Linked DNA regions of Notamacropus eugenii. The protein of the gene in region 1 purifies or fractionates together with the protein of each later gene. This does not show direct contact. Links are inferred from orthologs where the notes say so. Each region holds a gene or a part of one and is shown on either strand. Other genes may lie near its edges. The genes, in order: EN1 and transducin-like enhancer protein 1.

Region 1 (15,372 bases):
GTCAGGAGGTTAGGCTGAAACTAGTAGTGGGCTCGTTCCCTTCCTCATACCCTAAGACACACACACACACACACACACACACACACACACACACACACACACACACACACACACACACACACACACGGTCCCCAGGCTGAATCGCTTTCTCGCAAACGAAAACTTGTGTGAATAAAAGCTGCAAAGTCTGCCGAGAGGGTAGAGGGAAAGGGGCAGAAAAGGACCATTCTTTACTAAGAGGCTGCTAAGCAACGGACTGCCGAGTAAAGATCATTTTCAGAAGGGATCCCCGTCGCACCCCACCCCCACCTCCTTGCAGGGAGACCCTCTTCCATCCTCTGGTTTAGAAGAAACACTTATTAAAGAGAGAAGGGGAATGAAGGCGCTGAGAGCACAGCTCCCGGATCGGGTCCACGTGCCAGTCTGGGCAAAGCCCCTATCAGCCCAACAGTAGGCACTCCTCCAGAAGAAAAAGTGCTGTTGTTGGCATTCCCTCTCCTCCTTCCATTCCTGCTTTTTTTGCGCCTTCTCTCCAATGATGGGCATTTGTTTCCCGATGAGATCTGAGATCTCTCGAATTTCGTGGTCCCGAGACGAAGGTCCCATTTCTCTAGAAACTGCTTTGGCCTAGAATCGCCCTGTGGAGTAGATAACTGGTTTCCCATTTGCCGCCCACCCCATGCCTACTCCCCTAGTATGGGAAGATAGGGAAACTAGGGAGTGAATGCTGCTCAGGTCCCATTCTGCCAGACATCCATCCTTTCCAGAAATCCCAGTCCGGCTCTAATGGTCAGCCAGATGAAACCAACCAGCCCAAGCCCGAGTCCGGCGGGCGGACGAAGACCCAAAAGAGAAGGAGCGAAGCGGCCTTGTGAACACAGTGTACACTTTATTTCAGACTACAGATTTCTGAACATAATAAAATCTTTGGCTTGTAGCGGCGGTTCAGTCTCGCAGTCTGCGGGGTCGAAACAGGTCTCAGAAAAAAAAGGGGGGGCAGAGGAAAGGAAGAAAGAAAGGAAGAAAAGGAAGAAAGAATGAGGAAGGTGGGAGAGACTAAAGGACAGACACACTCAGGCACACATGCGGCACACACACGCACACACACACAAAGAAAAGTCCGAGATAGGCAGAGACAGTGATGAGGTGAAGAGGGATGGAGGGGTGGAAGGAGAGGGAGGACCAAGAAGCGACCACATTCAAAAGAAAAACGGAACGCAAACGAAACAGGGGGGAAAGGGAGGGATAAAATAATAATAATTATTATAATAATTATAACAATAATAATAATAAAGGAGATTAATAAAATGTCCAGCAAATAGAGATCGCTACACATATTTTTGTCCTTACCTGAAATTAAATATATACAAAGTCGTAAGCTGTTTGGCTATATAGAGATTTAAGTGTTCGCATTTCCGTCCCTTATACTATTAATAGAGAATAGATCTGATTTCGAAAGCACCTGTCCGAGTCTCTCTTTTTAAAAAATTTTTTTTCTTTCAACATGACTTGCCGTTCGAAGTCTTTTCCCCCCTTCTCTTTTGTTTATTATTTCTTCCCTGGAAAAAAAAATCGTTTGAACCAGAGGAGGGGAACGGGGAGAGAGTGGGTATGGGAGGGTGTCAGGAGCCAGCGTGAAGCAGGGGGTGGGGGTGGAGGAGAAGGGGGAAGTGACTACTCGCTCTCCTCTTTGTCCTGTACCGTGGTCGTGGAATGGTTGTAAAGTCCCTGGGCCATGAGGTGCAGAGCCAGGCCGTTCTTAATGCCTGTGGCCTTCTTGATCTTAGCTCGTTTGTTCTGGAACCAAATTTTGATCTGGGACTCGTTGAGGCTGAGCTCCTGGGCCAGGGTCTGCCGGCGTTGCTCGGTGATGTAGCGGTTCGCCTGGAACTCCGCCTTGAGTCTCTGCAGCTGCTCTGCGGTGAAAGCAGTCCGTGGCCGCTTGTCTTCCTTCTCGTTCTTCTTCTTCTTCAGCTTCCTGGTGCGGGGACCTACATGGGAGGGAGACAGGCCAGGGAGGGGAAGGCAAAGGGGAGGGAGAGGACAGAGAGAAACGGGGAAAGAGGGAAGAAAATGGGGGAGGGGGAGAGAAAGAGGAAGGTGGAAAGGCAGCTGTGTGAATTGTATCAGTGAAAGGGGGTGCATCATAGTTCTTGGCTACTAAAACCTCTTCTGTTTTCGCAGTCCCCCTCCCTCCATAGTATCCCAACCCCACCCCCCCATTCAAGAAGCAATTTTTCCTGGGCCAAACCAATTGTCCCTTATTACCAACTCTTATCTTCCTTCTGATGGGGAGTAAAGAGTGAGAAAGGAAAAAAAATGGCCGACAGCTGCAGGACCCCCACAATCTAATATAGACCGAAGGAGGGGAAGAGAAAGCTTGTAGGATTTCCCCCACTTGCTAGCACTACCAGTTAAAAGAATGGGGGGAGAGGGGAGAGCCAAAGGCATTCACCTGAGAATAAGATTCTAACTAGCCAGGCCCCGGAAACCAAGGGACCAGAGAAACAGCAGATAATGTCAGGAAGAAAGGAACTGCTAGAAAAGAAATCTGGGCCCCCGCCCAGCTTTCTTTCCTTCTGCTCCCTTCTTTCCCCCACGGAAAACCCCAAATCTGCCTATGGAAGCAGACTCTGCAGGCTGGGACCAGTCATTCCCATCATGACAATGAGGAAGGGGACAGGGCAGCTGGAAGAGGAGGAGCTGACACCCCAACTGGAACCCCAGCCGAATCACTTTGTGTGTCCCCCTTATCCCCCACTTCACGACCACTCCTTTAACTTCCAATATCTCAATATCCCGGTTCCACCGAGACTGAGAAAATAAATACTAGTAGAAACGACTTCAAACCAATACCTACTGTTCTTTACCAAGACAGCATCGCTCTTGCCACCCCTTCCCCCACCTCTGGCCTCCCAATCCAGAGAAACCTCCTCCGCCCCCACCCTCACCCGCATCAGAAGAAAAGCAAAGAGATCGAGAAAATTAAGCCCGCGGGGTCAAGGTCTCCTGAGAAGGACCAAGAAATAGACGGCTTTAGCCTGGCCCCCGTCCTTAGCCGTTTTTCTATTTGCCACAAGCTTCGCTCTAACCCCGGCCCGGTTGGGCTCAAGTGCCCCAGGCCCCCTTCCTTTCCGTTATTTTCTGTGAGACCCTGGGGAATGCCAGACCCCGCCGCGGAAAGCGAGGAAGTTCCATGCCTTCTGTTACAGACAAGTTTCTACAACGCCAACTGAAGTGAGGCCAGAGCCATGGGCTTTGGGAAATAGACTGCAAGCACACTTTACACCCAGAACAGTTGCAAGAGCCATGGTCCCGGCTAAGGTTAGAGGGGAACCGATAACTCAGCATGGTCAACAGTGAACCTTTGCAAGCGCTCCAAAACTGTAACCCTATTGCTTTCTCTTCCCAAATCACCACCTCTTCAGTGTTCACTTTCTGGAAAGGGATACCTGCCTCTATTCAGACAAGAGGTCTCCGTGACTGTGCTAGGGGCCATCTCCTAGCAATTTCGAAATTCATTGACTTTGGGTATTTTTATGTTTTTAAGGCCTCTACTACTTATTTCATGAATTGTAAAAAGAAATCAACCAACAAAATGAAACAAAATGTAACGAAACGAAAATTAAAAAGGAAACACGAGGAAATCGGAATTGGAATCAGAATTTTTAGCCCCTCTTGCCATTTTCAAGATAACACTTTCCCTGGACATTTTCTTCCCTGGATGATATTTCTGGATCAAAACACAAATGAGAGAGGGGCAATGGGGGAGGGGGAGAGCTTTTACAAATAATTCAAGGCTTCATCCAGAGGCCAAGAGTATAGGCATACAGCAGCCAGAACCCACAGACCCCATGGACCCAGCTGCTATATTCTGCAAGCCCAAGGATTCTTCATACACGGAGGTTCCGCTGATCCTCTACCAGTCGGTAGAAGACAGGGAATTAGGATAGAGATAAGGACAGACAACTACCGAGCTACAGAGACAGACAGATAGAGATTTTGAGAACGCACAGCTGTCAGTTGGCCTATCCTTCTACCTGATCCATGCTTCAGTACACCTACATCCTCATCCTAGTTTTACTGATATTTGTTTCTCTAGGGTATTTGCAACAGAGGATGGAAAAGTTAGAAATGGAGATTTTGAGAAGGGATAAACAGTCGAAGTTGAAGTCTCCTGGCCTTTCCAAGAAGCTAGCTAACCAAAGCCTTGCTATTTATAAAAACCCTAAAGCCTTGGAGGAGTACTCCAGTGAGAGTGCCACCTTCAAGAGAAACAGGCCACATAGCTTGGATTCTGCCAGAAGGGAATATAAACAAGGAAGCTTTGAAAACACTCTAGTCTCCAACTGGTAGATGGAGTAGGGGTCTGAACCCCACAATGAACCTCAAGAAGAAACACCATTAGCTTTTGTAGGTTACAGTCAGAGCCTAGGGAATCTGGGGCCTGGCAGCCAGGCCATTCCTTGTCCTGGGGACAAGTCTGAGATCTTCCTCTAAAATAATCCACTCTCCTCATCCCAGAGAAAGAGGATACAGTATCACAATATCAGAGTTCTAGGTTAGGCTGGAACCTCTTCGATGGGATCCTGGAGTTCAACCTTCCTGTTTGAAAAGCTTTCTAGGTGATTGCAAATAGATTTTTTTTTCTTCCAGTGGAGACCAGACTCCTAAAGTCCACTTACCACTACAAACCAAAAGTCTCCATTCTCTCTAGGATAATCCTAGGATCCAGAAAGTTGCAGGGAATACAACTGGGACTCTAGCTCTAAAACTCCCACTACCAAGGGCAAAGATGCTGACCCAGACAAGGTAGAAGAATCCCAAATGAGGATGGAGAAAATGATTAATTTATTTCTTTTGGTACTGTGAAGGGAGAGGGGACGATCATAGCCAGAGAGGCCTAGAACGCTTTCTGTGTCTGAGGCTGAGTTTATGTTGGTGCATGTGTATGGACACACTGAGCACAGGCAATAAAATCGTTTCTCCCTGGCTAGCCCTAGCAGCCGACCTGACAGCTCAATCACTCTATCCATCAGGCGAGTCAATCAAAGCGGCTTTTCAGAGGTTCAGGGAGACGGACGTGTCAATAACGGGGGGATCGAGATGGCTGGGGCTGATAGCGGCCTATCGATTGGCTCTGCAGCCCAAGTAATTCGGAACAGAACTGAAGAAAGAAGGGAAGGGAGAAGAAAACGGAAATGGGGATTTGGGAGACTCCCGGATACCTTCATAGAGTTCTGAGCTCCGACCCGAAGAAATAGTCTCTGACTCTCAACTCTGCCTCTTTCCTCAGCCCAGGCTGGGCTTGACTGGAATGGGATTTGAGAACCCAGCAGATCTGGATTCCTTCTTCTCTTCCCACTAAGTCTGAAAGGGAACTAGGAGGCTAAGGGTTGAGAGACCCAATGTCCGACACTGAGGAAATAACCTAGGAGCAACCCAGTGAAATGGGAGACCCACCAATGGAAAGCACGCTAAGGTCCCTGTGATACCAAGCAAGAAAAAAAGGAGTGTAGGAGGGGGAAAAAACACCTCAAAACAATCGCGAGTGTTAGATGTTGTGCCTTGACTGAGATAAAAGGAAAGAGGGCTAACGGGAACAGAAGGCTTTGAGAGCCGAGTTTCACAGGCAAACAACAGTGCAAGTAGGCAGTCTCAGAAGCTGGCCTTTCCGGCCTGCTCAAGCTTCTCTTTCTTAGGATCTTCTCACTGTCCTATAGATTGTCCCTCCCCATCTCCTTCATCTAAAAGCTAAGATTCATCTCCTGGACTATCTTAACGCTATTTTCTCCTATCAGACCAGGGGATCCTTGTGATTCCTTTCTGACATTATTCTACAAAATCCCCTTGTTTCTTTGCCCCACGACAGGGCCTCTCCTTCCCTCCTTCCCCGTACCCAAGGAAAAAATCTGTCTTCTCTCTCTCTCTCTCTCTCTCTCTCTCTCTCTCTCTCTCTCTCTCTCTCTCTCTCTCTCTCTCTCTCTCTCATCAGTATTGCAGAATACTGCTAGTGTATATAAATTCGATTGCACATTCTATAATCTTGTCCATATAAAAATCGAACTTTCTAGCCTAGGCCTTCCCATCTTTATCAAACACAAGTGCTTAGTCAAATCCAGAAAAAAGAAAGGGAAAAAAAGAAATTATTATTAAATACTTTAAAGTGTTAGGAATTCAATAGTGAATCTTCCTCGGTGCCAACCCCAACTGTTCAGAACTTCAGGCTGGGCTAAAGATGAAGATATCGTAGAAAAGGGGCAACAAATAAAATATGCGAAAAGTGGAAGCAAGAGGAACAGACATAGGAATAGGATAGGTTGGGAGGGACGGGGGAAGGAAAATGCATTATTATTTCTGTTCTTAAGAACTCTTGGCGGGGGTTGGGATGGGGAGTGTCCACCAGTGACCCTAGAGGGAGAGGGGAGTGAGGACTCACTTCAAAGGGTGTACTCACCAGAAGATGGGCGATCTGAATAACGCGTACAGTAGACCCAAGCGGGCCATACTAGCGGCTGCTGCGAATCAGTTTTAACCACTGGCCCGCCGTTGGCAGAGCCCATGAGTAGAATAGCCGGGTTCGCGTGTTCCCCGTATTTAGCGCCAGTTGCTCCAGGACTCCCCCCGCCGCCTTCCGAAGGTTTGGAAGCAGCGGCTGCAGCAGCTGCCGCCGCCGCCACGGCCGCGGCCGCGGCGGCAGCAGCAGCAGCCGCGGCCGCTGGGTTAGCTTTGGAGGCGGCGGCGGCCGGGGCCGACGCAGAGCCGTCGGGCGTCACACAGTTCGCATCTGCCGGGCAGAGAAGTGAAGCCGGGTTGGCCGGCCGCGTTCCCAGAGAATTGGCCGGGTCTCTCCCAGCCGCTGTCTGGCCTCTGTCTCGCTCTGTTCGGCCTCCTCCTCCTCCTCCTCCTCCACCAGCACCAGTACCAGCAGCAGCACTACCGCCACCTCCTCCTCCTCCAGCTCCAACCAAGATCTGCTGCTGCTGCAGCTGCTGCTGCTCCTTCTTGCAACCAAAGTCTGGCCTCAGGATGTTGTCTATGAAAAAGTTGGTGGTGCGGTGCTGCTGGGGCGGCGGCGGCGGCGGGGGCGGCTGGTGAGGAGGCGCTGGCATGGGCTGGGGAGGCGGCGGGGGCTGGTGGTGATGGTGGTGGTGGTGGTGGTGGTGATGGTGATGGTGGTGGGGTAGGGGCTGGAGGCAGGGCGCTGCAGGAGAGGAGGGAGCTTGCTGCGGGGACACCGGCACGCTGTCTCCATCGCTGCCGCTGCTGCTGCCGCCGCTGCTGCTGCTACTGCTACTGCTGCTGCTGCCGCTGCTGCTGCCGCCGCTGCTGCTGCCGCTGCTGCTGCTGTGGCTCGCAGTGCCTGTGGTGGAGTCGCGCTGACTGTTAAGCTCCGGCTGCTGCTCTTCCATACTCAGCCGCCCCGCCGCCCCGGACGCGGCTTCCTTCCCCCTCCCCCCCGCTTCGCTCTCCACCCCACTTTGCCAGTGGCCGGTGGGGGTGCGGGGAGGAAAGAAGGAGAGGAAGGAGAAGAAGGAGAAAAAAGGGGAGCAGAGGGAAAAGGAGAAGAAAAAGAAGAGGGGGGGAAAAAGATCAGACGCTTGTCTCCAGTCTCTCTTTTACCGAGCAGATCTGTTTTCCTCTCTAATTTGCAGATATCCAGAAATGAAGACACTTCGCTATTTCTTTTTGCAACCAGATTCAGTTTTTGTTGTTGTTGTTGTTTTTTAGGAAGGAAAGCCACACCAGGAGGAGCTCCCCCAAATAAAATATTTTTTCTTAAAGGGAAAAAAAAATCGAGTCCTTAAAATCTAGCCATCTTCCTAAGCAATAGTGAGGGGTTTGACTTCCCCAAGTGTCATGCTCAGCTTTGCCCACAGCTCGAGGTTGGCAGCGCCTTTAATCGCCTTTGCTTTTTTTGCAGGGAGAGAGTGTCTCCACCACCGCGCCTGGGCTTTTTTTTTCTTTTCTTTTTTTTTTTTTTCAAATCTCTGACAGCTCCGATCTTTGCACAAACTCTCTCTCTTAAAAAAAAAAATCACCCAGGCACACTTTTTGCATTCAAACCGGAAGCACGTGAGTCTGGGCCGCACGTGTGAAAGGCCAATAGCGAACCGCGACTCTCGCTGACACCCGTGACGCAGACCAATGAGTCGGCTTGGAACTTTGCGGATAAATAATCCTTGGGGTTGGAGCGGGGAGAGGGGGAGTCGCCGGGCAGCCTGTCGCGTCCATTCTCCACTCGGCAATTCCTCCACCCCACTCTTCACCAGTACCACCCCCTCTCAAAAGTTCCCGTTCTTCCTACGTCCGGCTTCCAACTTTTCCCTGCCCCTCAAGTGTATATGTGTGTGTGTAGGGGGGGGGGGGGGGTATGTCATTTGGGATGTAGGCAAATATGAAATTAACTCCTTAAAAAAAAACTTTTTCAAGTCATACAGGATAGGCTTAAGGGTCCATATTCAGCAGGCCAAGCAGGGTCCGAGGGGAAAAGACTTTTCTCCCTTCCCCTCTCCTTCTAAGAAACTCACCCTTTTACTTTCGGCTATGGAAATTGAGAAGGTGTCATTTGACTGGAGTGAGCATGAGTGATGATGATGATAATGGTGGTTATGAAGGTGATATGATAAAGATATGAAACTTGCTCTCCGATGTTATCAAGCAGGGGTTTAATTTAATACGGATTTAGAGATCGATTTTTTTTCCCTTTTTCTTAATTGTATCAAGGAAACTATCTGGAGCAAGCTAGCAGGACGAGTTTAGGCAGTACGTTGTCGCACCGTTTCTGAGTCTGATAAGAATCCCTCAGTCTTCTTGCTGTTTTTCCTTTTCCTAGCTCTTTCGAGTTAACTCGTGGCCAGACAGCACAGGTACTGGGGTGCAAGAAATTCAACTTGGAAGTACTTGAGCATATAGCAGAGATCCCAGTATACGTTTCTTGCCCGCATAAGACAAGAAGCGGGTTTGACAGTTAACCCTCCTAAAGAACATCGGTAGTAGCTGGCCGCTCTGCAGTTAGCCTACTGGCCCGGCAGCAGCAACTCCAAGGAGAAAAGAAGTTGCTTGCCTGGAAATCTCCAGACGCTTATACCACGGAATGGGAACGGGAAGCTCTCGGTTGGAAGACGGGGGTGTGGGGGAAGATCTTTGAACCATAGGGACACTGGCTAAAAGCCAATCTTGTTGATAATTATTTTCTGCTATTTTTTTTTTTAAGAAAAGGACTGATTTCGAATACTTGCTCTCTCCCTCCCCCTTTTTTGGCACAGAATAATTATTCTCCTTCAATTCTTCTAAAATTAAGCACCACAACCAGCACCAGTTCATTATCCAATCATATCCACTATGTTCTGAAACCCTTAGAATTCTGTCTGATCAAGGTTTATAGAGTTGTTTACCTCTGACGATGGTTCAGCAGACTGAGCTCCGTCCCTCAATTTACTAACATTTCCTTGAGAGCAGAACTGTTTGGGGGGTTCACTCCCTGCATATGGACACCTCGTAATATTCTACCTCTTTTGCCTCAGCCCTTTCCCTGAGAGACGGAGAATCGGAGTATTGTTTCTCGTGAAAGGGGTTTGGAATCCTAGCCTGTCTTCTTCTACCTCTTCCCCTTAGGAGAAGAGAGGGAAGAAAAGAGGTTATTTGGAGACCCTGGGGTGGGGTGGTGAAGATTCTGATCAATTCTCCCCTTTCATCTCCATCTTCTCCTGGAGGCCTGGTCCAGGCAACAGTCACTTCAGGAATACACACACACACACACACACACACACACACACACACACACACACACACACACACACACGGAGTCTTTGCCTAGATTTTTTTTTTTTTTTTTTTGAAAACTGAACTGGGGGACGAAGACTTGGGAAGGGGGAAAAATGAAAAAGGATGCCAAGTCTAGACAAGGCACAACTGAGGTAACTGAGGCGAGCTAGCCCCAGCTCAGGGATTCTGATTTCTGTTCCTATTTTCACAATTAATCTATGGATCCCTTTGGAGGCGCCGGCATCACTGTGGCCCTTGGAATAAAGGAGAAAGATGTCGGGGTGTTGGGAGCTGGAGAAAGAATGAGGAAAAAAGGAGGGAATACTTCGGACCCTTGTACTTCGGAAGGACTTCTACCCTCTGACTCCGGCCTCTCAAATTACACCGCCACTCACCTTTGGGGGGGGGGTCCCTCTGCTTCCCTATCTAACAAAATATTGGGGCATTCTCCCCCAGTGTGCCTCCCTCAACCCCCTCAGACATAGAGGCACCAAAATGGGGGGTGGGATTTTATTTATATTTAAGTTAGCAAAATTGAAATCTTTATCCCGCAAGCGAGCGTGGGTACTTAATTAAATTCTAATTAGGACACTATCAATATCCTATTTAGCCACGTAGCTTTTGTGCAGCGCGGTCCCTTTCAGCGCCGTAAATAGGGTCTCGACGCGTTATCTCGCCTGCAGGAGACGCCTCGAGAAGGGCTGCGGAAGATAATTTATAGGTTTTAATTACTCTTCATTCCGCCTGATCAGCTTGGCGTTCATCACAGGACTGTGAATAAAAACCTGGTCAAAAGCTCTGTCACATTGCGCTGGCAAGACGCTTAATCAAAGTGAGCGGGGCCCGCGCTCCACGCGGCCCGACTCCTCCACGTAATTTCCAGGCTGCTGATAAAGCCAGCTGAATAATGCGGCGGCCCTTTGGAGACACCATTTACAGAAATGACTTTATTGACGGCTTAACGTCGGTAATTCATTTTACCTTTCATGTAGTGGAGCCCGGATTTGTTACAGTAATGGGATGATAAATGCACCGCCGGCCCTATAGCTCCGACTGCAATGTGGAGCACAATGCGCGCTCCCAGCCCCCAAAGCCGCGGCCCCAGCGCGGGACTGTCGCTCGGCCAGCTCACCTCTGCATTTCATGACCTCCGCCCTGCCTCCCTGCTATCTCCAAGCTGAACTCCTTCTCTGGCTCAACTCTGGTGCATTAAAATAAAATTGGAAATTACCTGAAGGGGGTGAGAGTGCTCTCTCGTAAAGAGATGCCCTCCTTAGGGGGCCCATTTGCCTACGTTTGGTAGAGGGAAATTTCCTTCTTTTCGGGAGATGTGAATTCTCTTTCTCTCTAGAGAAAATCCGGATTTGGGGATCCTAGGGAGGGGTGGAGAAAGGTGGTGGCACTGAGTGTGTGTGCGAGGGAGGGGGTAGGGGGAAGATAGATAGATGCTTCTTTCCTCCTGAGCACTTTCTATTCTATCTACTCCTGCCTCCCGGGGCCTGAATCTTAGAAGAGTCGATAAGTTTGTAGGTGCTATTGTGTCCCCTCTCCCAACAGCTTCCCTTTCTCCCATCCACCCCAGAAAACAAGGGAGGAATGATAGAAGGGAAGGACAGTTATAAACCAGGTGGTCATAGATTCAACCTTTCCCGTTGGGCTCAAGAGAGATATTTCACTTTCTCCCTGGCAAAACCATGTGGTTTTGGTCTCCCCTAAGACCATCCTCCATTTCCATCTAAAGGGGGAAGGTGTCTTTTATTATGTCATAGTGTACCATTCCCCCTTCCCATTGCCATCTTTTAAGGAAAAAGGGTTGCTTCTGTGACACAGACTTAAAGTCACTGTGGTTGCTATTTGTCTGATCCCTGACCTGTTTCTCTTCCTACCTTACCAAAGTAAGGTAGATATTTCACTTTCTCCCTGGCAAAACCATGTGGTTTTGGTCTCCCCTAAGACCATCCTCCATTTCCATCTAAGGGGGAAGGTGTCTTTTATTATGTCATAGTGTACCATTCCCCTTACCAAAGTAAGGTAGGAATTGAATGAAGGAATTTGGGGAATTGACATGGAGTAAGTGCATATAGGTTGAGAACACTAACGTGGGGGGGGGGGGGGCAAGGAGATAATGTTGCTAAGAGTTTGGGGGAGTTAAGGCCCCAGGGGTGAAGAGGGTCCTGGAGATATTCAGAATTGAAGGAAAACAATCTGCAAGGTCCATTCCTCTTCTCTTCCTCACTCTGCCCAACACCCATCGCATATAGGACACGGTTTACTTAGACTTCTGTTAGAAGTATGCGTGTGTTGTTATGTCTGTTTGTCTGTGTCCCTGTGTGTTTGTGTGTGGCTGTAAGAGTGCATTCCTGACAGTCTTTCCTTTAAGTAGGGTGTCCGTTTTAACCATAGTTTTATTTTTATTTTTAGTTAAGGCAGAAATTAATGTCAAGATTGTATATACTTTGTTTCTTCTCCTTTTGAAGATGGGGAGAAGAATAATTTGTAAAAAAAAAAATCGACAGTCTTTCTCTGTGTGTGATAGGAAGTATATCCATGTGTTTAATATACACGGTGGTAATCCTATTTCGAGTCTAGATCAGATCACATTGGGGCCTTATGGTGCAGGACATAAATGAGTTGTTCTAACACAATAGATTCCAGTCTTCCTACGGGGACTGGGTGACCAGCGGTTTTGTTGGAAGTGAATGCGAGTAGATTTCTACTACAAGTGCAGCAGTATTATTATGAGCTGTAAGGTCAGACTATACATCTCAGGTCCCCAAAGCCTATAGACCTTGGGAAATGTGCGGGCTCGAACCACGTCATTGTACCTGACAGTCCTTTCAATAGACTAATTCAATTATCGCTTGGGGATTCAGTCTTCATTTGAAAGCAATAATGGGGGTGGGGGATTCGTTTGGTAATAGGTACCGGAAGGAGTTCTGCTGGAAACTTCGAGCTGGGGTGAGTCTAGAGAAAGGAGAAGAAAAAGAATGGAGAAAAGAGAAAGATCCCTGGAAACAAAACGCCTCCTTAGTCCCAGAAATTGTGATGGTGGATTTGTTTGTGGTAAGCTGACCATAGTCCGCTTTGATGAAATATATTTCCATAAGTTTGTGTGTGTGTAAAACGTACACACGTGTGTGCATATTCGTGGAAAGTTGGATACTAGTTTACAAAGAAATATCCTACCATTAAATAAATTGGGTGGAGGTTTCTTTTTTTTTTTTTTTTGGTAATTAAAACTTAGTTGGATTTTTTCCCCACTCTTCTCTCCCATTTTTCCCAACTTCCCATCTTCACCCCAAGTACTAAGTACCTTCCCGTGTCCATTTGGGTGAAGTGGTTCTAAGTGGATCGTACCTATACAGTTTGAAATAATTGTCCCTTTTCACCCTTTCCAAGAACAGAACCAGACTCCCAAGAGAATACAAAAAACCCTTATAGGTCTGGCCTTTGAAAGACTTTGGAAAGGGAAGAAATAATGTCACTAAAATAAAGCATCTTTTAAAATTAGAGAGATTCGAAAGAGGACATGATCTCCCCTAACATCTACACTCATTCCAATGTGGCCACCCTCCCTGCCCCAAGTCTCGTGTATGTGTTTAAGATGGACAGGAATTCTGCATTCCCAGGTTTTGGCTAACGAATGCAAACATTTTAAGATTCATACAGAGAACCGGGAAAAACTTGGTTCGCTGTGATTTGGGGAAAGGGGGCGTTTTCTATCGATTTCTTCCCCCGAATAAGTCTCTTTCTGGTCTCAGAAAGATAAACACAGAGATAGACACCAGGATTAAGGGCTTCTGGTAACCATCGTTCTCTTTATATATAAAAAATGTGACTTGATAAGTTTATTTATTTTTCCTGCTCCTAGAACTGTCACACTCTTCAGCTCGAACCCCAGGGGTCCAAAACCCAAGACCGAGATAGTCGAAATAATTCCGCTTTCCTTCAACTAAAACCAAAGTTAAAACTCAGCTTCTGGTTTGATTTTCTTCTGTCCTTTATTTCTCTCCCCCCTCCCACCTCATAATACAACTGAAAACTCGGTTTTCCCACCCCATTCCAGAGCCGTTCAGACAGAGCCCGCTTGGGAGCGGTGTCCTGTCCGTGTCCCCACCTGTCCGAGTCTCAGCTTTGGATTCGATCGCCGGATAGTCGCGGTGCGTAGTCCACACGAGCTGTGCGAGTGTGTGTGTTTGTGTGTGTGTGTGTGTGTGTGTGTGTGTGTGTATGCGTGAGTGCATGTTCGTGGGGAGGGGGCCTTCCCCGCCTCTTGGGCTCTCTTGTTATGTTCAGCTAAATCCATTCTCCAGCGGCCCGGGATCAAACAGAGAAGAAAAAGAAAAGCAGAAGAAAAAAAATATCGGTCGTTTGTCTAAAAACCTCCAACAGGGTTCCACATTTCCTCGCTTTTAAAAATTTCTTTCTTCTAAAATTGACTGTTTCCCCATCCTCAACTCCTAAGTAAGGACCCTCTCCCCAGTCCCACCTCCACTCCACGCCAGGAGGTTGTTCCCTAGACAGAGATCTAGAGCGCAGGTCTGGACACAGCAGTCAAGGACTGAAAATGAAAAGGAAAGGCGAAACACAACATGCACGCGCGCGCGCGCACACACACACACACACACACACACACACACACACACACACACACACACACACACACACACACACACACACACACACACACCCTTCTGGCATGTCAAGGACTTTGGCCTTGGCTCTTTGGGACTTCAGCCACTTTCTTAGCCCAGTGGCTAAGATACTGGTACCCATCAACTAAAGGTCAAAATCCCAGTCTTCCTCAATTCCAGCTTCCCTGCGTTCTTACTGTGCTCAAGTCACACTCATCACTTCCCCCACCCTCCAAATCACAGACCTGCAGCTGCCACTGGAACTATAGATGTTTTGAACTCTCTGGTGAGAGAGCGCTCCCGACAGAACTTTGGGGACATCCGACTCCAAAGTTAGTTGTTTCTGGAAAAGAAAAACAAAAGCGCAAGGGGAGTCGGGGTAATTAGGGGAATATATGGGAGGGGAGGGGAATTAAGTCCATTTACGGAGTGAAGAGCTTGAGGCTATGGGAAGATAGACAGTGGGCAACCCTTAGAACCTGAGGACCTAGAAGTTGCATCCATCCCCTTCCCGACCCCTGAATTCCAAGCCCATCAAGGTCAAGGATCCGAAGGGAACCAGCTTGGGAAAGTGACTTCAAAATTCTGAGCTAAAGGCAAAAAGATATTCACTATTCTGCACGATTCTCGCAGGCTTCAACTGAATTTATTCTTGATCAGGACAATGTGTGTGAGTATGTATGTATGTGTGTAAACTTGTGCGCGTGGGATTGTATTCTGCGGGAGACTGGCAAAGCTTTTTTTTTTTTTTTTTGAAGGAAAGTCCATTAGGAGAACATACCCAGATTCGAGTTTCAATCTCTCCATCGGGAAATCAGTTCTAAGTTCCTAGAAAAGACCTCTGTTCTACAGTGAATCTTTTTGGGGGGCAATTAAACCCCCATTTAACCAACGAAGCATCGAGTCAACTAGGGCCTAGGTGGAGTAACATTAATATCTACAAAAGGAAAACAGGCCCCTCTGATTTTCT
Region 2 (15,899 bases), on another chromosome or scaffold:
GCATCAATTTGAGCCTGGCTACACCCTAGGGGCTAGACGTCACCGGTTTTAATAAGAATTATGATTACTAGCTACCCAATGCCTCCTCAGAACTTCTTATTAATGTGTGACATTCAGAAGGGTGGTTTTTTTTTTTTAAATGTAAGGCCACTTTAACATTGAATCATAGCAGAGCCCAACCCTGCACCACTGTAGTGGAGGGTCTGTCATCATTTACAATACAAACTGAATTTAAAAGGATTTAAGACTTTTGCTATTTAAAAAATATAGAGCATACCCACCTTTCACATTCTTCAAATCACTGAACTAGTTACAACAAATACACCAAATAATATATGCCCATATGTAGACAAAATATTCACACATGTTGTCACACATAATTAATTGCCCATGAAACACATGCACAGGGACAGATCTCTACTTCCAAACACATTTCTTATCCCTACCACACACATGCTTCTGACACTTTTATCTCCTTTCTCTTTTAAGGAAAAAGGAAAGGTCATGCAATTAAGCATGGTTTACAAAAATAATACTACTACCTATTCTTTAAATTCTCCAATAAATCTACCCATGAGCATAGAGACCTTACGTTTTTGGAAAACAGGAGCTCCAGGAGCACTATGAGTTATTAATTCCTCTGATTTCATGAGTTCAAAGTAAAACTCAACCTTTTATTACCCATTCCTTACAGTATAGAAATCTGGTCTTTTAATGCCATTAAAAAATTAAGTTGGCAAGCTGTTAGAACTCTGTGGCAGAAGTTTGTGAATTCTCATATGCTACCCCACCCAAAAGACCCCCAAACTTAACCAGGACTCCTTCTGACCTGTATGATCACCAAGTTTACAATCCCTTTGGATAAGGGAGTAGTTATTTATAACAATAAAAAGCCCAAATAACCCTGAACACGTTAAAAACAAAGTTTACTTTGAAAAAAGCTGTAATGAAAATTACTTAAAAATACAATCATAGTCTAAGTAAAGAAAATTATAATGTCTCCTCCCAAACATAGCTGAAAACAGGATTTCCAAAACAATACCTCAGCATTATCAAAATCTGCGACGAATTAAAAAGAATCAAAGGGTTCAGTTACAAAAGCAGAATTCAGCTCTGAAACACACTTGCTTAATGAAAGTCTGTGAATACAGTGAAGATCTGAAGCCTGAACTAATCAATTTCGCCCCTGTGCCCTAGTCGGTCAGCCACGCTCTTTAATTTAATGAAACAAGAGTTTTAGATGAGATAGCACATATACATCAAGCAAGAATTGTATTGTTGCACTTTGAAATGTGTCCAACTGTGCAACTTCATCTAATGATAATTTTTTTTAAGAGGCAATCGATTTCTGAAAGACTTATTGTACCAGCCTCCTGATGAAAAAGTGAACGTCAGCATATCTAGCGAATACTTACACCCTGCCATTAATGCTTTCTTTGGCAGACAATGACTACTCAATCGAGGGTCCTTTGGGCTCAGCAATCATTTAGCTTTTCTTCTCTTATGAGGTCCTTAGTGCCTTGTTCCAGTTCAATACTCGTTTTATTCACCATTATAGTAGCCATAAGTGTGAATTTTATGGGAACTTGCAAACTCATAGTCATAACCAGAGCTTTCCCAGTCACTAATCTTTCCAGGCTTTTAAAACCACTAGGAAACTCAGCTACTATCAACATATGCTACTCTCATAAAAGAATTTTTTTTCCTCCCAGATTCAAGACGCCATCTACCAAATTATTTTTAAAGTTATGTTTACCTACAAACCACTGAACTGGTATCATTATGCATTGCCACAAAACTACAAAAGAAAACCAGTGTTTGCTACATAGTTCTTTATATGCCTTTTCCATATTAATGAAAGAAAAGCAGCTCTTTTTACACAATTTACTCAACCATATCTACAAGTTGTAGTAGGAAAACCACTGAATTTGGAGTCAAAAAGTACGACTTCAAAGCCTTGATGTGTTGTTTGCCACCTGTGTGATTCTGAACAAGTCACTGCCCTGCCCCATGGCCCTTCATTCTCTCTCCTAAAAAAAATATAATAAATGATCTAAGGTTCCCTCAGGCTCTAGACGCTATAATATTATTACGTCAATTGACATCTGTTTAGTGCTTTTAGGTTTGCAAAGAGCTTTAAATAATATAATCTTTAACAATCCTGGGAGGCAAGGACTATAGCTATATTCCTTATTTACAGATGCACAAATCTAATGACTTACACTCAGATCCAGTAGGTATCTGAGGCCAAATCTGAACCCATGTACTGACCTTTCTATCCACTCTGCCACACTGACTCTTAGTCCTATGACTCAACACTATGTATATGAGTTCAGATTTATATACCTGTAACATATAAATGACAAGGTATCTATATACCTATAACATTCAAATGGTAAGCATAAGCCTATCCACGCATTAAAGTACAGTCAATTTTTATCTTCCTGTAAACAGAACTTATATTTTCATATCCCTTTTATCTAGTAATTTAAATTTTTCTGCAAATATAACGAGCTGCAGAACTTCTACCAAGTAATTATCAGAACAAAGTGTGGTACAGAAGAAAGAATGCTGGATGTGGAGATCATCTTAGAAGTGGATTCAAATGTGAACTTTGGGCAAAGCATTTCTGGGTCTCAGTTTCCTTATCTGTAAAATGAGGTTGCCAACTGGATGATTTCTAAAATGCTATTCTAACTGTAAGTCTGTGATTCTATGATAAATTGGGCAACTGAGACCTACAAATGGCTTTAAATCACCTGTTACCCAAAAGCAATGCCAGATTTACAGCCATAAACTGATTCAAGGTCTCAATTTGGAATTTACTTTAAAATCTTACCTGTTTATGCATTTCAATGTTTAACCCATATGACATTTCATAATACTGTGAAGAAAAAAAGGGAAAGAAAAGTTTCATTAACTCATATTTAGTACTACTAAAAAAATATATTTGTTATGGTATGTGAAAAGGAATAAAATAAATCTTTGATACCTACCATCACATAATGCCTCTGCATTTCTGTCTTTTCACTCGCCAATTTCTCACATTCCAATTTAAGGCTACAAAAACAAAACAGGCAACTTCATGTAAACATTATGTCACTTGTTTTAACATCTGCCTCACATATTTGCACTTCAAGTAAAAACACAGACCAATTTAGAAAAACTATAAACTATCAAAGTAAACACCCAAAAGCTTTGTCCTTGTATTTAATAGAGAATACAAGTAAAATGAATTCTATGTGCAGTTCATTCCATTATGATTCATTCTTAGGGTATATAAAATCCCAGGTACGGGGTAAAAAAATAAGTCAGGTCCTCAAACTAACCAGTAGTCTTATCATCTGTTAACTCATGGCTAGTTAAATTTTTATTAGGTTCGTGGTGTGGGATAACCCTCTGAACAGAAACTTGAACTTCAAACAACATATATTGAGTGTTTTGACTCAGTGGATTCAAACATCCCTCTAAGTTTTTAAAATTGTAATGGAAAAATTACTATTCCCTAACAGTCAACTAGTTTTACCCTAGTCTTTAAAACACACTAAAACATCACATCAGATAACCAATGACATAGGTATAGCCTTGGAAGTGTGTGATAAGAAAATACATGCCTTAAACAGAATATTGGACATTCCTGAAAACAATAAAGAATCCACTCACATTCCCTATTAAAATGGTAATTTATAAGTTGCCTCTGCTTTCTGCTGAAACTAACTTAAACCGTGATGGCATTTATCTCTAAAGAATAAAAGCTAATGCCTCGGTTAGAAGTTGGCTTTTAAGCTAAGGAGCAAGCCACAATATCAGTGTTTCTTCCACTGTTTAAAATTCCCACTGATTTGGACAGTAAGTCTACACTTGTACTCAAGTGCTATGATGAACTTCATATGCAGAAGCCTCAGTTCAATGGGGCTCTGAGATTGGGAACTTGAAATTCTATTTATTTTTGGGGATCTCCAAAGTCAACCTCAATGTAAATGGCCCAACAACTCTAAAGGTTTAAAAGGAGTAATCTTTCCACCATGAACTTTGCTTTGTACAACTCTATCCCCCAACATAACCAAATAGTTATTTCAACACTGCATTTGTCCCCTGCATTCCAAGACTAAGACATTGATTGAGCCAGTGTTTTCAGCTCAGCCTGTTGCAAAATAAATACATGAAGGGCAAATATTGACGGTTCTCATGTTAACTCCAAAACACACAAAAAAAGTTCATTTGAACAGCAGCAAACAGGACGCCAAAACAATAGGAGGAGGGGAAAAAAAAGAGGAGGACTGAGAAAAGCCAAGGAAGGGGAAAAAAAGAGGGGGAAAGTGAATGACAGGTTTTAACTGTGATTCCACACGCCACCGCCTGGACACAAGTACTAAATACAGCTGCCACCCCAGGGATAAGACAGGGAGAAACAGAAAACCAGAGCCCCCAACCCCCACCAAGCCCAAGACGTTCCACGCTGACATCCAAACCCCAGGGCAGGGCCAGCCAGGGTCGGCTCAGGACTGAATGCTCCCACTGCACGCACCTGTGATACTGAGCCTGCAGGAACTGAAACTCCTCTTTGATCCGATCCAGGGACTCCGGGATGGTGAATTTAAAGGGCTGACCTGCAGCCTGGTGCGGCGTCTGGAGGAGGTGTGGGATGGGTGTGCATAGATGTGCAGGAATAAGAGAAAGTGGGGGGGAGGTAATGTAGGGCAGAGAGGGGAGAGGATGGAGGGAGAGAGAGAGAGAGAGAGGTGAGACAAAACCCAAACAAAAGTTACCAGCTATCACAGGTACAAAAAGAAACTAATTTGTTTTTTCAGTTTACTTTAGGGGAGGCAGACGGCAACGCTCGCTCCCTGCCCCCACCCCGTTTGCCGAAACTCCCAGAGCCTGTAGAAGCGAGGTAGGAAATCTACCCCTGCCCCTCCCCGTCCCACTCCTGGGGACACAGATGGGGGATGCCCCTGTAATTCAGGTCGAAGTAGCACCCTGCTCCTAAAGGGCCTGCGAAGGTGGCGTTAAAGATGGGTGCCCGCCCCTCCTATAGGCAATAAAGATAATAGCCCTAGGGAGGTTAGCGGAGTAACAGACACCCCAGCCCCATCCTCCCAGTTCCCAGAGTCCCCTAAGAGGACTCGGGCCAGCCCTGGCCCCACTAGATCCAGGGCTGCAATTGACATGGAAATAAGATAGTGAACAAAGGGGGACCTGAGGGGGGGGCAGCTACTGGAGGTTGGGGGGGGGGAAGAGAGAGCTAAAGACCTTCCTCCCTTAGGTGGGAACAGAAGGGATGGGGAGAAGAAATGTAAGAAGCTTCTCTGTCCCCGTCCCTCTGCCCCGCTAGCCTATGTGCCTGCCGCCTTTAGAGGTGCTAAAAAGGGAATTAAAAGTGGGGGGAGGGAGGGGAAGGTGGCCAAGAGGGAAAAAAGCCAGAGGATTTCTGCCTCCACTCTATTTGTCAAAGAAAAAAACCCACCACAAAACAAAACCCATACGGCATCTTCCACCACTCTTACCCCACCCCCGCACCCAAAGCGGAAAACAGGGCCAGCAACTCCGAGAAGGCAACCTAAGCAGCCTCGAACCCCGCGGGGGGAAGGTGGGGCAAAGGCAGGGCACAACCCCAGAACAGCGCCTCCCCCAGCCTCCAAACCTTCGGCTACTTCCCCCCCCCCCCCAACATGCACCCTCCACAAGCACACGCCCAGGGCCCCCGGGCCCCGCCGCTCCTTACCGGGTGCCGGCTTTGCGGGAACATCGCTCTGACGGCAGCCGCTGCCTTGCTCCTGGGCAGCTCAATTCTCCGCTCAATTTCCAACTTTAATCCCGCCGAGAAATATTAAGACAGGAAGGAAGAAAGAAGATCCAAGCGAGAGGAGGTGGGGTGGGGGGTGGGGGGGTGCGCGTTAGACATGCACACACAAGCGCGCGCGCACAGACACTGACATTACACGCACATACGGACACGCACGCACAACAGCCAGGCAGGACCGGAGCCGGAGTTGGGCCACTTGGGCTCCCAAGGCCGGGCCCCGAGCTCAGGGCCACATTTCCCTCTCTTCCTGCTCACCGCCCCCACCTCCCACTGGGGCCAACGTCTCCCGCCCGGCCTCGGGGAGTGGGGGAGGGAAGAGGAGAGTTTCTAGGCTTCGGGAAGAAGGAAACGGACCCGAGGTGGACAATGGAATCCCCCAGTTCCGGCGCTGAGGTGGGAGAGAGAGGGTGGACGCACAGGTCTTCCTCCCCGACGGCCAAAGCCGGGACCAAGGTTAACTCCCCCACCACCAACCACTCCCCTCAGATGCGCGAGCTGCGCAGGTCCAGGGCAAATCAATCCAGTCTTTCCCCCCCACCCGTCCTTGCTCCGTGGGGGGCCAACTTGCAGGTGGCAAAAGAACGCCGCCCCACCCCCCAACAAAAACAAACTAACAATCAGGGGACCGGAAACCCCTGAGCAAGCCGGGTGACTTCTTGAGTTAAAGACGATATCCAGGGAGGGCAGCCAGGAGGCGAATCTGTAAGGAATTGTCACCCCACGCCGCCCAGACAGGGGTCGGTGGGTGCAAAGGGGAGCCGAGGATCACTCACATATAAACGTACCCATCCGTACTCGGGCCGGCTAGCCTCAAAGGCGCTCCCGGGAGGAGGTGGGGTCACACACACACGCACAACGCACACACAGAGCCCGGGGTGGAGGCTCCGAGCCAAGTGATCACCAGCAACCACAGAGAGAAGGGTAATGATGCAAGGAAAGTGCAGAGACACAGAGCGCAAGAGAGGAGGGGGTGGCCACGCAGCATATGCACTCAAGCAGTCTTGGAGTGGAGACTGAAAAAAAAATCCCAACTAAAACAAGCCGAAGCAAGGGGACGAGGTGGTGGGTGGCAGTAGTAGACAGAGGCAACAGTCTTCTTGGCCGTTGCACAGAAATCCTAGTAGCAGAAAAGGCGAACCAGCTGGGGCAATTCTCAGTTACTCAGAAGGGTGCAGCCCTCCCGGGTGCAGCAGCCTCCCAGCTGCTGCCGCCGCCGCCGCCGCCTCCTCGCGCCTGGAGCACATCGGGGAGCGACTCACACACACCCATGCAGCAACCGCCGCCGCCGCCGCAGCATCTCCACATTCATAGACACCCGCACGGCCCCGCAGCCCTGCTGCCTTCTGCCGCTGCTAATCCTTTATGGGTTTTTTTCTTTTCCTTTTCCCCCCTGGCACCCCCCGCCCTTTTTGTGTTTCCCTTTTAACAATCGACGCTCCAGCCACAAGTAAAGTTCCCCGGGAATCCCGGGGAAAACATCCATAAACCGAGGTACGATTGGGAAGACTCCACGGAGCAAGCCCGTTCGCTAGCTCGCTCGCTCTGATGATCTTCTCTGCCTTTTTTTTTTCTTTTTTTTTGCAATCAGGCAAACTCCACAGGGCTATCGAGAGTCACAGAGTGACCAGGGGGCCGGGCCGAGGTGAATCGGTGTGGTCAGCCGGCCAAGGGTCCGGTGACGCCGCTGCCACTGCCCGCCAAAGCAGCGGCACCGAGCGGGTAGCAAGCAGCCGCCTCTCAAGAAGCGGGACACAATGTATCCGGCGGTGCTGCTCCAGCTCCGGCTCCTGCTCAAGCCGCCGCCGCCGCCGCCGCCGCCGCCTGCGCCTCTCGCGCTGGTAACATTAACACGCGGTTTCACACTCCTCTAGCTAACCAGCGGCCGGCCCCGCCCACCCTGGCGCGGGCGGGGAGCGGGGAAGGGGGGCGAGGAGCCGAGGATGGAGTCCGTGTGGATGAGGGTGGGAGGAGAAGGGGAGGAGGGGAGTCCCGGCCCAACCAATCGTCCGTTCCAAGCCCCAACGTGGGATCCTGACGACACGCCTCCCAACGTCCTATAGCAGCGCAGTACCAGCCTCGGCCTTTCCCCCCCTCCCCCCACTTCACCATTCTCCCTCCTCTCCTCTCTTCCATCAGCACTGTCTCCCCTGTCTCTCCTCCCGCCCCCTCCGCCCAGCCTCGTCCTCCCCGGCTCCGCGAGGAAGCGTTCCTGGAGGAGCTGCGGGACGCCCAGGCCAGCCAATAGGAAGCGGGGAAACGCTGAGATTGGCACGGAGGATGGGAAGGTCGGTGGGAAGGAGAGCGGCAGTACCGACCTGTCAATCAAAGTAACGTGGGGGAGAGTGAGCGCGCGGGCGCGTTCTGGGGAGAAAAGGGAGAGGGGGCGAGGAGCGGTGTCGATAAGAGTGTGTGGCTTTAAAAATAATATCGTTTTCTTTTTTTCACTTAAAAAAACCTCCAGATATCTGTGACAGTAGTACCCCAGTGAGGCAAACCATTCGTTATGATTGGGAATGGAGGGTAGTTCAAGAAGAGCACATTTTTCCCCCTCATGGAAACCACTCGTTTGATACTGTTACTTTGAAAGCCAGGTCACTTTCAAAATGTCTTTCAGGTTTGTTTTTAGCAACAGTTACCTTTTCACGGACACGAAAGGGTAGCACATGCACTTGAAAAGGCAGAGTGGAAGGCATTCCTAGGCATTTTTACGTATAACATCCACGTTGAAATTGCGTAGCATTTTATTTTTTAGGATCTCAAAGCACTTTTTAAAAACCACAGTGGTTTTATTTAACACAAGGCTAGAAAAAGCACTAATGACACAAATCACACATGTCGGCAGAAAAGTCCTGCTACTTGCTTAGGATGAACTCAAACCCTGTTTTGCAAATTGTAACCAGCCTATGTTGTGAATCAACCGCAGACTCTTAAGAGTCTTACACCCCAGTTACCACCATAATCTTTCCAAAAGCTGAAAAGAGAGGAAGAAATAGTGTGTACTGACATCCCCTGTGTACTGGCAAACCTGTTTTTCCCCCAGATAGTTTTTATGGTAAAAGAGCACTGAAATATTTCAGGTGATGAATTGGGGAGTGTTGGGTAAGTGACATAGTTGGAATTCATAGATCAACTCAAAGGTCTTTGTATAAATAGAATGCATTGGTAGTTTTCAGTTCTGTCAGCGCAAATGTATGCATACAAACTTTAAAGGCTTTAATTTTGCAAAGAGTTTTCAGTTTTGTTTAAATTATAGTCTTTCCACATGCCCCATGTGTGAATGTTATCTTTGTCAAATGGTAACATATTCTTCAATTGGAAATGTACTTCTTTGACAAATATGAATCTTATGTTGGAATTTAGTTAATGAGTCTTTTAGTATTAATGACTACTTTATCCCAATTGTCTTCTTTAAAAACTCTTAAAGACTCAAGTCTTTTTTAAGCATTTGCTATTTAAACAGATGCACTTTATTTAAAGATTCTTGCATTTACAAAGATCATTCTTCTTAAAATATTTAAAGGATCATTTTATGCAACATCTTTCACTGTTGCAGTTTTAAAACATTTATAAGATTGATTTTTTCATGATTGTATCAAGCCTCAAACTTCAATTATAAATGAAAAACAAACATTTTTAGGCTGTATATTTGAAGGCTATAGTAAATTCTTAAACATTCAGAATTTTATCTCTGCAGTCTACTAAATAAGTGGAATTTTCACTCATGAATAATCACAAACATTGCTATTTGTCTTGTTTACATGGAAAATAAAGTCGCTGGAAGTGCTTCCTATTTTTGTCAGATTATGTCATCACATAAATTCAGCCTTCCTCCCCTCCTTGACAAATACATTTCAAATGCAACTATATGTATACAGACCTATATGCATATACATATACCTCTAAGTGTATTATGGACATGTAGATGTTTACATGAGGGCAACATCTGGTGATTGTATCAAAGATCCACTTTGGTTTGATGGACAATATTCAAATGATATCCCATTATGTTTACCTAGAACAATTTTTCTTCTGCATTCATAGGATTTTGTTCACTTTTATGCAGAACATGTGAACATATCATAGATATGCATGCATATACGAGGATACCTAGTGAGGGAGACAGCAACACACCTGCTTACCCAGCTTTGGCTGGTGTGAATTTTAACCTGCTGGCACAAGCTGGTAATTAGATATAAACAGACAAATTAAAACAGTGTATTTTGGAACAGGAACAAAAACAGTGTTGCTTCCCCTCTATTCCTCCTCTTCCCTCCATTCTCCCTACTCCACCCCACCCCATAATAATGTTCTGTAATTTTTTATGAACTTAAAATGTTTTTAATCACTAGGTTTTCCTGTGTATATTGGAGAAAACTCTAAGTTTCTTTAATGACAAAGGTCTTCCTGACCTATGGCAATTGAGACACCAGGACTTACAGATTTTTCCTGTGTTATCTCTGGAAAATTATCTTTTACAATTGAAAGTCTCTAATTATGTGCCCTAATGATGGCTACTTTTCACCAGTTTCTTCTTTTTCTCAGAACAGCATCCCTGCAAGATATAGAAGGCTCTGCCCCTTTTCAAGGTCATATTTTCTCCTTGATTGTCAGACTGTAATAATTATACTGCAAAACTCTCATCAAACTGCATTACAAATGATGGTGTTTAAACAATCAAGCAGCTTTAATCTTATGTTTTAAATAAATAATATATGTGCAGATTGCCTACAGTATTATTTAAAAGAAAAATAGAAAGTGCCTACTTATCAAATTCATAATTTCTACTCTTCTATTTGAAGTCTGTTAAACATAATTTTTTTAACCTTCACATTCATGTATGAATATATGGATAAAAATATTAAATGCAGTTTCCATGTAATACTGAGCTTCTGACGAAGAGTACCTTTTTTTTTTTTCCAGAAAAGGAAACAAAGGATTGTGGTACTGTTCATTTTACCATAGATGCGCATGTACATTTTTTTCCATTGACATGTTGATTATCAAATCTTCAACCTACTAATAACACAAGTATTTCCACTACATGTCCAAATGAATACTAGATGTTACAGATACTAGATAGTATTGTTTCCTTAATAGGAGAAAATCTTTTCCTGTGATTTATTCCACTGTTCTGCATTGCAGAGCAATGAGAAAAAAAAGTTAATTGAGGTAGCTAATCATAGAATCCAAAAAAATTATGTATCTTCTTAAAACGATTACCTCTTTTTTTATGAAACAAATAATAATGGGGTCAGGCTTTTTAAAAAAGCCATTTTCATTGTCCTCTCTACTTTCTAGTTAATAGTTACCGCTTTCATTATTCATCATTTAATTTTTTTTAGCTAGGAATTTTTCTTTGAGCCTAACCCTGTCAGAGGGGCTCCAGAAGGACTTTTCTCAGCACTACTTTATAACCTTTTGCTCACCATGCTCCTTTACTAAAAGAGACAGAAAAAGAGGGGAAAAAAAGACTGAAAAGTTGAAAAAAATCAGTAGCAGATCCATGCAGCAGTAAAACCTCAAATAAAATCAGATCCAAAGAATCTCTTGTGGTTTCTCACAATATGGTAAAATTAGAGATTGCAGGAAACCAACAAAATTAAATTGGGAGCATTTGAAGAGAAACGAGTAGACTTTATGAAAATGACACATTGACTGGTCAGTATTGTTTTTTATCAACAATTTCTTTTTTAAGGCATAGATCAAAGAAACCTGCACATGTTTTCATTTTATTTTAACTAGAAAATTACATCCAGATGTTTAATAGGCATTTGGTTGGTTTTTCAGCATTGATTAGATATGTTGGTACTGTTTGCTTACAAGTGTAGCCGGATCATTAGCTAATGCAAAGAAATGTTTGCTGTGAGTTGCTAATTAGGTCTTTTGGAAAACCTCCACGCTCAGGAACAATTTGTACAGTGGCCAGAAGAACTTGTGGTACTTGAGAAGTTGCTTTCTCTTCTGGGGGTGTGACTGTGTGTGTGTGTGTGAGTGTGTGTGAGTGTGTGTGTGTTAGAGGAAGAGGAGGGAGAAGTGAGACCCCTCTCCCTAATCTCCCTTTGCCTACAGGGATTGCAGTTTGATCCCAATGGGTTGAAGTGCAAATAAATTAGGAAAAGAGACCACACGCACTCACATACACAGATAAATGTACTGTTTCTGCCTGAAACTACCTCCATGCTCTTAAAAAAAAATAGCATCTGAAATGCTTAGCACTAACGGATGGAAAATTCTCAGTGTTAATGTTATCAAATACACAACATTTTAAAGCATACTTTAGAGGCAGATGGGGAAGCCTTTTATGATAAATGAGTACACTTGAATTCATTACTGTAGTACTTATAATTAAAAATATCTCCTTTGCAACTTCAGTACTTGTACTGGGTACAAGAGACAAAGCTTAGGAGGAAGGAAGACTTAAGGATGGGAAAAGGTGTGAGAGGAAAGAAAAGAAATTCAGCTGAGAAGAAAGAGCCTCTGAAAAAACGAAGTGTTTGTTTTCACAACTCACCCTTTTGTTTACAGTTTAAAAGATGAATAAACTTGCCAGAAATTATCCATTTACCCTTTAGTCAAAGACAGTTTTTAGGCTGCTAGGCTCCTATTTGATAAGATTTTCAAGGTCCAGGCATCTCTTTTCAGGAGATACTTGACCATGGCAACAACATAAAATAAAGACCACCACCACTGCCTCAGAATACCATCCTTTGGCCTTCTTTGAGAGAAATTTTTGATATATTTTAAAATATAAATCATAACAGAAGGAATATGTATATATAAGCAATAAGCATAGACACACAGATATAAATACCATCACAGCATCTTAATGTGTCTATATATGAACAATATAAACGTATTTACATATTATCCACATGGCTGAGTAACTTGTAAGTGTTAATATATTCTGATTAATTTAAGATTTTTCACACAAACAGAACAGAGACATGATTAGTCTTCTTGAAATAGTTCAAGCAGAGTGCACTTCTACCAGGGCTCTCCACATCTACAAGTGCGATGTCCTTGACAGCCAAGGACAGTATTTGGGCTTTGTAGGAAAAAAAATGCCATTTGCACAGCCCATTAATAGTAGGATTCACTGAAGTTAGGTACCTTTTCTAAACCCATTCCAAAGATTGATGATATTAACTACAGTGTCCTCCTTCCCCCTACACTCTTATCACCATCACCACTGCCACCCTCTCCAGTTTAGCATTTAGTTCAACAAAAACTGAAAAGCGAAAGACAGAGTAAAGAAAAGAAGAGAAAGGCATTTGACATTCGTTCTGGAGAATTTAGGCCTACATATGTCCAAAGTTAGTGCAGATCTTGGCCCATAGAATTCCATGTAATGAGCCTCCTACCCAGAAGATCAACAATATTTTATTTAACCACCCTTGAACAGATATGCCTGTTTTCTGTTAAGTGTAAAGAGTTCTTGCTTACATTCTCATTAAACTTTCAATGCAAAATGCATGGTTGATCATTTCTGGGACCAGACAAAACTTTGGTTGAACTTACCCACAAAAAATTCATATTCAGTGAGTTGCAAATATTTAAACTGTCTAGTCTGACCCTGTCATTTTACAGATAAGGAGACTGAGACCTATAGAGACTAAATGATTTGTCTAAGATCGTTAAATGGCAGGTGTTGGCATGGAACAGGACTTTTGACTCCAGAACTTGCACATCATACCACTGCCTCATGTACCTGACGACCCGAGGAACAGTAAGAGATATAAGTTGGGAGTGGTGTCAAAGATCTCAAAGTTTTAGGGCCTGTGGCTTTCACCTCCCGTTTAATTTATATATTAGATTCACCTAGTTAAAAAACTGACTAATAATGTTTTAAACCAAAAAAGATTTAAAAGAAATAACTCTCAACTTGGTTTTTTTCAAGTCCTTACTGATATAACCAAGTATTCTTGCATTGAATTACTTCTCTTTGTTCGCTACCTTAATAATAGCTAGCATTCATATAGTCCATTTTTAGTGGGCAGGGAAGTGCTGAAGTGAATTGAGGCCTGGAGTCTGGAAGGCTTATCTTCCTGAATTCAAATATGACCTTAGACACTTACTAGCTTGTGACCCTGGCCAAGTCACTTAACCCTGTTTGCCTCAGTTTCCTCCTCTGTAAAATGAGCTGGAGAAGGAAATGGAAAACCACTCCAGTATCTTTGCCAAAACAACAAAAACAAAACAAAACAAAACAAAAAAACCAAATGAAGTCACAAAGGGTTAGGTTTTACAAAGCATGTAATAAGTATGATCTCATTTTATCCTCACAATAACCCTGGGGTATAGGTGCTATTATTACCCCCATTTTATAGATAGAAAAACTGAAACAGATGTAAAAAAGTGACTTCCCCAGGGTCCCACAGCTAGTAAATATCTGAAGCTGGATTTGAAGTCTAGTCTTCCCGCTTCAAGGACTAGGGTGAACCATCCACTTAGCCCCGTGGCTTCTCTTTGGTTTCTTTCTATTGTTTTGATTTTTCATAGCTCATTTCCTTAATTCTTCTATACAGATTATTTTACCTCCAATAGTAATCTGCTAATATAAAATGGAAATCTTTAAATAAATCAGGGTTTTACACTGGCAGTCCCTTAGTGTATTGTTACATGGAGCATCGAGTTCAGAATTACCATCAAATCCACAATAAAAGGAAAGAACAAGTTCTCTGGATGTTAAGTATTTGGAAACCATGAGATAGTGGAAAATAAAGTTTATTTTCTTTTCATAGCTGCTCCTCTGCATAGTTGCTTTGCTGGCTTTTTTTCGCCCTCAGTAAAACAAATAATAAATTGATTTGGGCTGGGTTAACTTTTTCTTCAGCATTTTGAAAGAGTGCAAAAACAGATTATAACTCCTTGTACTGAGATTTAAAGGTTAATGTTGAATAGAAGAGAAAACAGAGCATATTAAATCTTAGACTCTGATGTTGTGTTTATTCAAAATCTGAGAGGTGTAGATTGTGTGCTAATGAATGAATATTTCTCCAGCAGAGCAGTGGAAATGACAAGTTTTAAGTGATGAAAGTTGGGGTGCCCCACCCATATATTTTTCTAGCCAGATGTTTCCTTACAGCATGCTTGTAATTTTTTTTAATTCCAGGAGAACATTTTTTTCCCCCTAAAGTAATCCCTGGAGATCCCTTTCAGCAAGTAAATTCCAGTTGCACTATCAAATGCAGAAAATCAAGATAAAAATACTTCCAATAGGTGTGGATTAAGGGTAAGAAGTGGGGGATAATGAAAAACAAGCACTTTTAAGGCATACTGACTAATCAAGACTTAATAGATCTGTTCTGTGCTTCTCACTAGTCTCCAAATAACTAATGATTATGCAAAATGAAAACACTAAAAAGAACTTCTGCATTACAATGACAGAAAAAGCCCCAAGGGAACCTGGTTACCATTCTGGTTTCACCCATTTACAGCCTCTACACTTCAGGAGAACTGGCAAGCTACAATTGGCACTTAAGAAAGTGTTACAAAACACTGACAAGTATTAGAGAAATGTTGATTCACGTAAACAGCCTGCCTCAAGGAATAATACCTTTCTTTAGATCATTGGCTTTCAAATTAGTGTTTCTATGGAGACAAGTACCTTCAGGTAACTCCTACCAGGATATCCTTAGGAAGTTACAGAAAGTGAGGCCTTGATTTTACCGCAGTAGGAAAAGAGTTACCTCATTTACATCTTAGTATCTTATAGCTGGATGGGACCTCAGAGGTCATCTAGACAGAGGGATGGACAGACAGATGAGAAATTGGGTGGGGGGAGGGAAAGAACTTTTTTTTAAACTCTTACTGTGTTCCAAGAACAATTTCTAAGTGTTGGGAAAGCAATCCAAACAGGCCCTGTCTTCAGACAACGCATAACCAAGTCATTATCGATTGTTACTGTCCTAAGTTATCTGAATTCTTTCTATTACTACTTGGGATCTTGCTGGGGTGGCAGTGTGATAGAACACTGGGCCTGAATTCAACCACATCCTCAGACGTTTACTAACTATATGACCCTGGGCAAGTCCGTTAACCTGTTTGCATCAGTTTCCTACCTCACTGGATAGTGACAGTGCCTGGCACAAAG

The links.
Region 2: the proteins of EN1 (region 1) and transducin-like enhancer protein 1 purify together in Homo sapiens (affinity purification with western blotting; 4 studies listed by BioGRID and IntAct, with this or other methods). This does not show direct contact. The link is inferred for Notamacropus eugenii from reciprocal best matches to the Homo sapiens genes EN1 and TLE1.

What each region holds. Positions count from the first base shown.
Region 1 is NC_092876.1:308,202,066-308,217,437, forward strand, and holds EN1 (homeobox protein engrailed-1), read right to left. Parts: upstream 7,490-15,372; 5' UTR 7,413-7,489; coding exon 6,458-7,412; intron 1,992-6,457; coding exon 1,675-1,991; 3' UTR 870-1,674; downstream 1-869. UniProt on the Homo sapiens protein: Required for proper formation of the apical ectodermal ridge and correct dorsal-ventral patterning in the limb.
Region 2 is NC_092872.1:72,090,158-72,106,056, forward strand, and holds the start of transducin-like enhancer protein 1, read right to left. Parts: upstream 6,076-15,899; 5' UTR 5,750-6,075; coding exon 5,726-5,749; intron 4,630-5,725; coding exon 4,529-4,629; intron 3,061-4,528; coding exon 2,997-3,060; intron 2,885-2,996; coding exon 2,840-2,884; intron 1-2,839. UniProt on the Homo sapiens protein: Transcriptional corepressor that binds to a number of transcription factors. Inhibits NF-kappa-B-regulated gene expression. Inhibits the transcriptional activation mediated by FOXA2, and by CTNNB1 and TCF family members in Wnt signaling.